2 linked regions of the Danio rerio genome follow. The protein of the gene in region 2 interacts with the protein of the main gene of each other region in a pairwise test. Links are inferred from orthologs where the notes say so. Each region holds a gene or a part of one and is shown on either strand. Other genes may lie near its edges.

Evidence for each region.
Region 1: the proteins of irf9 (region 2) and irf1b interact in a two-hybrid assay, tested with the Homo sapiens proteins (2 studies listed by BioGRID and IntAct). The link is inferred for Danio rerio from reciprocal best matches to the Homo sapiens genes IRF9 and IRF1.

The regions. Positions count from the first base shown.
Region 1 is NC_133196.1:49,886,100-49,890,207, forward strand, and holds the start of irf1b (interferon regulatory factor 1b), read left to right. Parts: upstream 1-1,208; 5' UTR 1,209-1,321; intron 1,322-2,086; 5' UTR 2,087-2,091; coding exon 2,092-2,178; intron 2,179-2,266; coding exon 2,267-2,366; intron 2,367-2,616; coding exon 2,617-2,825; intron 2,826-3,428; coding exon 3,429-3,528; intron 3,529-3,665; coding exon 3,666-3,767; intron 3,768-4,108. UniProt on the Homo sapiens protein: Transcriptional regulator which displays a remarkable functional diversity in the regulation of cellular responses.
Region 2 is NC_133187.1:13,875,696-13,879,350, reverse strand, and holds part of irf9 (interferon regulatory factor 9), read right to left. Parts: intron 3,543-3,655; coding exon 3,430-3,542; intron 474-3,429; coding exon 339-473; 3' UTR 1-338.

The sequences.
Region 1 (4,108 bases), on a different chromosome or scaffold from region 2:
TGAAGGTATAAATGAATGAATATTTGTATAATATAATGTATAATTTGTGAATAATATATGTATGATATAATGATATGATGTACAAACATTCAAATGAATGAATGAACGTTCACACAAACATGCTTGTAAATGAATGAATTAATGGACAAACACAAAGTTAATCATACATGCATACAAACAAAACAAACAAATATACATGTGAATGCATGATGAATGAATGAATGAAAGAATGAATGAATGAATGAATGAATGAATGAATGAAAGAATGAATGAATGAATGAATGAATGAATGAATGAATGAATGAAAGAATGAATGAATGAATGAATGAATGAATGAATGAAATCCACTCGCAGTTCTGGACGGTTTTGAGGCCTGTGAGAAATACACATCTCGAAACCTAACATACCACAGAGCAGCACACACACATATCCAGCAGCTCCGTCATGACCCTCCTGAGCACGCTTCTGGCTGTCAGGCTTCCAGCACGGTTTCTTTGAAACGGAGACTCTTACAGGAAGCAGAGCCGGAGCAGCGGCGCCCTCTGTCGGCAGACTCTGCAACATTTCCCGGAAACCGACTGACTTCTGCAGACTGAACCCCGACCCGCTGCACTTTATACCGGCTCCATAACGAGACACTCACACACTGAACAGTGCAGAATTAACCTGCTGTCTGAATCATGATAGCACTCACAGAGTGACAGAGCCACTACACACACACAGCTCTAATACATCAACTTCACACACTGTTGGAGATTCCCCAGTACTGGGTTGCAGCTGGAAGGGCATCAACATGTGCTGGAAAAGTTGGCGGTTCATTCCGCTGTGGTGACCCCTGATTAATAAGGGAATTAAGCTGAAATGAATGAGTGGATGAACAGTGCTGTAGAAGTGTAACTGATGATTGTGAGGTTGTGTTTGGGATAATCGCATATGTGTGTGTCGCGTGGGCGTGTGTGCAGTATGCTGCTGTGGTATGCTGAGGGTGTGTGTGTGTGTGTGTGAGAGAGTGTTTATCCAAACTGAATTGTCTTCCGCACGTAGTCCGTCTCTCTCTTATACAGCATGATTTCTCGGAAATCAGCCTCGCTGTGTGGAGCGCTGCCTGTGTGCGCATGCGCCTGCTAGAGCAGGGAAAATTCCCCGCGCCGTCTTCGGCTCTATATATACAGCAGCAGCAGCAGAGCCCTGCTCACAGTACAGTTAACCTGAACTTCAGCACAGTCACTTCAGCTGTTCTTCTCACTGAGGACTTACTCACGCCTTCACACGGCCAACTCTCGCTGCGCTCTGCACTGTAGGATTTACCCTCGCTCTATTGGTGAGTGTTGTGATTATGCCTGATGTGTTCTTATATGCTGTATATGATGCTGGGTATTTATTTCACTTCAATTCCATGAAATATGGACAAGCTCGAAAGTTGGGTTAAATTTGGTCATATGCATTTAATTAACTCAGTTTACATTTAGTTTGGAATTGAGTTGAAATAATCAAGTGTGTGTGTGGATAATGTGCAGATTTCTGTTCATCCTGCCCTCTGAGGACTCTCAGTTCTGTCTGTCAGTGATGAATGCATGTTAAATGGACATTTCTGAACTCTTGTTTAGCAGAGCAGCGCGTTTCCTGCTGCTTTTACAGATTAATTGTAAATGTTTTTATTTTTTATGAATGCAGATGTACTCTTAATGTTTAATATAGTTATTTTACAAATATGAACTTACTCTTAATGTCTATTTTTAATTTGATATGTTTTATTGAAAGGAAACACACTTTACATACAATACAAAAGAAACATGACCGTTTCCTTCTGTCTGTGTTCTCTTATTCTTCTTTATCATCATTTTCCACAAATGCAGAATTAATCTTAATGTTTCTCTTTTACACGCACACATATTCAGACTTTTAAATACAAATGCAAAAGTATTCCTAAAGTTAATTTTCTTTTAACAAATGCACAATAACTCAGAGTGTCTCGTGGTGAGGTGTGAGCTAAACACACTCTTCAGCGCTGTGCGCGCCCACAGACACGCCTCCTCATCTGCGCATGTGCAGCTCCGCTAATCCTACACTTGTCTCTGTGCTGCAGAAGTCATGCCCGTGTCCAGAATGCGCATGCGCCCCTGGCTGGAGAGCAGGATCGACTCCAACACCATCAATGGACTCATGTGGGTCAACAAGGTAAAGCCGAGCGCTGCACACACTCATCAGAAGCCACTGTTCCAGCATCAGCAGAGCTTTACAGATGTGTGTGTGTGTGTGTTTGCAGGAGGAGAAGATGTTCTCCATCCCCTGGAAACACGCAGCTCGGCACGGCTGGGAGGTGGATAAAGATGCCTGTCTGTTCAAGCAGTGGGCCATTCACACAGGTGAGAGAGCTGTCAATCATCTATACCTGTGACACTGCTGTCAGTGTTTCCTTCACTGCAACTAACACTTACATAGAGTCTAAATATCTGAACATTCTGAAAGCAAGAAGCGTTTTCTAGAGAAGCAACAGATATGTAGTGTTGTTGAGTCGGCATGTGCAGTGTTGAGTGTTGTAAAGACCTCTAGTAAAGCTCTACTGAGTGCACTATACAGTAGCAGTGGATGTGACCGTAGTGCTGTTCATTTCAGGTAAATATAAGGAGGGAGTGACTCAGCCTGACCCCAAAACCTGGAAAGCCAATTTCCGCTGTGCAATGAACTCGCTTCCGGATATCGAGGAGGTGAAGGATAAAAGCATCAACAAGGGCTGCGGGGCGGTGAGAGTTTACCGCATGCTCCCCGCCGTCAGCAAGAAGATCAAGAGATCCAAGAGCCGAGACTCCCGCCGGCGGATGAAGGTGAGCGCAGCGCATTATTATAATAATCACAACACATATGTCAGGTATAGCACCTCAAGCATCCCATTTCTGGGATTTTTGTCCAAATAATTTTGGTGTAAATCAAATTTTTTATTATCAGATTTTTATAATTTTGGTGTAAATTAATTTTTTTATTATCAAATTATTATAATTTTAGTGTAAATCAAATTTTTTATTATCAAATTATTATAATTTTAGTGTAAATAAAAATTTTTATTATCAAATTTTTTAAATTTTGGTGAAAATCAAATTTATTATTATTTTTTTTAATAATAAATATCTATTAATGTGTTTATATTAGACATTTTTATGTTTTTTTTTATGTTTTTGGTAAATGTGTAAATGTCTTGAACTTTTCAGATTAAACAAACAATTTTAAAAAATCTAAATAAAGTCACTTATGACAAAAAAATGTCCTTAAAGATGCCAGCAACCAATCAAAACAGAGAAAAACAAACATAAACATATATAAAGCAGAGTCAGAGCATGTCAAATAATCAGACCAAATCAGGTGTGTGTGTGTGTTTAAACTGAAGATCTGAACATGCGCGTGTGTGTGTGTGTGTGTGTGTTATTATTCAGAGTCTGTCTCAGAAAGTAAAGCTGGAGGACATGAGCAGTGAGGACACGTCTGCAGAAATGACCCAGGAGAACACCATCGACAGCACTCAGAGCACACCACGTAAGTGTGTTCAGACCCACAGCAGCAGAGGACGCTTCCCTCATCTGTGTTAAAGGGGACAGTTCACTCTGAGATATGCAAACGTGCAGACTGAGCGGTGAAGCTGGAGTCTGATGTTCTCATGTCTTCTCCTGCAGACACTTCCAGTCCTACTGTTGGGTATGAGGTGGAGATCGGCCCTGACAGCACATGCAACGACATCTACTCTCGATTCCAGGTGTCTCCAGTGCACTCCACAGGTAATCACACACACACACACACACACACACACACACACACACACACACACACACACACACACACACAAACACACACACACACACACACACACACACACACACACACACACACACACACACAGTACTCTTCTCCATGATGACAGCACATAATATTAGACTAGATATTCTTCAAGACACTAGTGTTCAGCTTACAGTGACATGTAAAGGCTTCACTAGGGTAATTAGGGTAAAGTTAGGGTAACTAGGCAAGTCATTGTATAACAGTGGTTTATTCTGGAGACAATCCAACACTAATATTGCTGAAGGGGCCAATAATATTGAGCTTAACATGGCTTTAAAAC
Region 2 (3,655 bases):
GTACCGTTTAACGTAACAGTCCATTTGTAGTAAATTGTGTACATTGTTATTAATGCATTTAATGCGATTAAATCTCTTAAAGCACAAGATTTGTACAGTGCTACAAATTACAAATAGTGAAACACAATCTTACACTGACTAATAACATTTTGAACTACTTATAAATAGTGCGATAGGATTATATATTTATATAGTAGTTGAAGCAGCTAATAAATGTAGCATTTACACTCACTACCACTGGACAATGTTACTTTTAGTTGTCTCAAGTCATTTTGCTTGTGATTTTGATCCATAATGTCAAGAATGCAGTGAGTGTTTTCTCAGAAGTTTGTTACTGGTTATTCCGATACTTCAACAAAATTCAGTGTCACTTCCCCTGTAGGAGACTGGCTGGCCAGACTTTTGAGAATTGCAATGGACTCTCTGAAGGCCTTGACCTCTTCTATCTGCGCCTCAGCCCAAGGGAGAGATATCTGGAAGAAGCAAATAATGACATTTTCTTTCAGTTTTACCTTAAATTTGGCCCAAGCTAAACATTCATTCCATTTTTTAGTCTAAATATTTAAACGTAGCAATGTTGAACACAAAATAAGATATTCCTCCATAAAGTCAAGGGTTACAGGTTTTCAGCTTTCTTCAAAGGCCCAATCTCTATTCTATTTCTTACCTGTACCCCTTTCCTGGGGCCTTGAAACATTGTGAAGGGTAAGGGCTATTAGTTTTACGCCTAAGAAATGGGACAGCATTACTACACCTGCACAGGTCATCATATGTCATTGTGAGCTCTTACTTCATGAGCGATTGAAGACAGCGACTGCTGTAATTATTCTAGTTGCGTGATTTCTTTTAGAATTTATCTTTAGGAAATCACAGAAGGCAACGATATCATGTTATCATAATGACATAATGTGGCAATAAGCTCCTAACTGTACACTGTATTTACATCAAGGCCTTATTCATCATATGAAAACAACATTAATATTATAGCAGACACTGTAAAAAGCTCATTCCCAGCCACTAGACTTTTCTGACAGGGTATTCGAGTGTCATCAAGTGACAGATGTGAAAGTATGTTGTGGTACTACTATACTGGAGTTATTAGGGATTATAGATAGCAAAATTTGAAATATTTTGAAACTACTATGAAACTAATTTGTGCATCTCCTGACTTCTGAGTGCAGCCATTTTGCCGCTCAAGATGATGTATTCTGGAAAATTTTCTTAGCACTTGGTTTCGAGTGTGGTCCTGAAAATCTCAGTTTCAAGGGTTATCGAACCATTCCCCTAAGCCCTACTCCTTCAAGGTAAAGAGAATTGGGACACCCCTACAGCTTCTGGTCCTATCGTACACCCGGGCGGCTCAATAAAGTGCAAGACGTGTTTGGCCTGATGTGTTTCTATTTTGAGACCAGCACAATTTTCCCATTTTGCTCCACGCTTTTTAGATAGCAAATCCATTGGCACCACTTATGGATGTGGTGGTCTAGAAAGGTGTGTTAAGGCGCATTGTTGGTGCGTTGCTATTTCGAAGAACTAAAATGGACTGCGCAATTGAGTGTGTTAGTTGTATGCCTTAAACACGTACACACTGCTTAATACACGCAGCATGTACAGCAATACGCAAATATCTTTACATATGAAAAAAATTAAAGGATTAAAATATTTTTAAAAATGTGGGCATGTTTGGGTATAACCCTGACCAAACGTTCGTTTGCTGGAAATTAAAATTGAATTAAGATATAGTTTTAAACAAATCTTTGTGGTTAAAAGTCAAGAGAAAGAAAAAATAAAGAGGCAGAATGTAGGAGGCTTATTCTTTATCCTCGCGCTGCAGATGGTCTGTTTAACTGTTTTCTCGGTAGTAAAGTGTTTAGTTTTTCCACTTAAAAAGTCTGCCATGTAAATAGCAAATGCACCATGGCGCAACGCAACTGACTTTTAAAGGGAATAGGATATGAGATCCTGATTGGTTTAATGCCTGTTATGCTCAAAACACACCAACAACTCATAAAAAAATAAGCACAACCCTGTTAGACCATGCACCAGGGTGCAGAGCGATTCGGACATGCACTTAATTCTTTTGCGCCATGCACTTTAGACTTTTAGACACTTTACTTTTCAGTAAATTTTAATTTCTGGGTTAACTGTCTTATTAATTATCCTATTTACATATTTATATAGTAATTGGTCACAAATCACAATGTTGTTTAAACTTGTTTAGTTGATCAATCAGTATTCTCTATATTATATCAAGGAGCATAGACAATGAGCAAAACATCATTTGTGTTTGAAAGTACACTTTTTTTAAACCTACTCTTTAAATTCTTCAAATTTAAGATAGCAGTTTAAACATTAAAGGGCACATTTTTTACCCCTTTTTCTAGATTTAAGATGAGTCTTTTGTGTCCCCAGAATGTGCCTGTAAAGTTTCAGCTTAAAACACCCATCAGATTATCTATAATACCTTTCAGAATATTGGATTTTCTGCTTTAAACAAATTGGAGCTGTTTTTGTTGCCTGTGCCTTTAATGCTAGATCTCCCTGCCCACTGTTCCCACGTACCGGTCAGAGTGTGCCTTAATCTCCGCCTCGGCTGCATCAGATAGACAGCACAGTGACAGACATGAGGGAAGCATATCTCACAAACGTTTGTGAGAAATACTACAGTAAGAACTTTCCCAATGATTATTTGTTGTATTTGTTGTGGGGTCGCAACGATGAGTCACACACAATGTCATTACAAAGTTCACACGCACATACACACAGTGTATGCGTTTAACTTTGCACTGTTTTCACATGGCAAATGTGACAGGATACACGTTAATATCCACTGCTGTATGGATATCCGTCATTTTAATGTACAAAATAAACCTGACTTAACTCCCACAAACTGGGATTGAAGCGTTTTCTTTTATAATTGTACTGACACGCGGCTGTGGTGATAAAGATGGTAAAATTGCTGTAATCATTACAAACATGCACTGTTTTGAAAACGTTTTAAACTTGTAAAACTCATTCTTGATCACATTTGAAGATGATTGATGATCTCGGCAGGCTGAACAGATCTCTCAATCCCAGTTGCTTTGTGCACATTCTGTCCTTGTTGATATGTTTATACGTGTTACTTTGAAGACATGTTAATATGCGGCTGTCAATCAATTCAGTGCGTGAGGAAACTGCCCTTCCACGTAACGTTGTGGTGGGCCTCAAAATGGGAAGTGATTTGGATTTGGATCCTATTTATCATCAGGAAATAAAAAAAAAGAGACTTATTGTCTTTTTCTCACCCTAATATGACAGTGGACACACCATACTACACACAGTTCTGTCCAAACACACTTACAAAAGATAATTTTCATCATTGGTGCCCTTTAACTTAAATGACAAATGTAGTAATGATCTATATATGTACATCAATTACGCATTTACCTTAATGATGATGTGTTTATCAGAGATGTTATCTCCCTCCAAGAGCTCCTCTCCAAAACAAAGAATGATCTCACTTTGAGGTTGTTTTCCTCCATTGCGGAAACATTCCAACTCTGAGAGGAAAAAAAAGAGGAAGAGAAATTTGGTATTATACAAAGAAGCTTCTAGTTTTAAGTCACAGGTCTTGCTAACAATGCTAATGTTGCTGACAATATTGCTAACATTA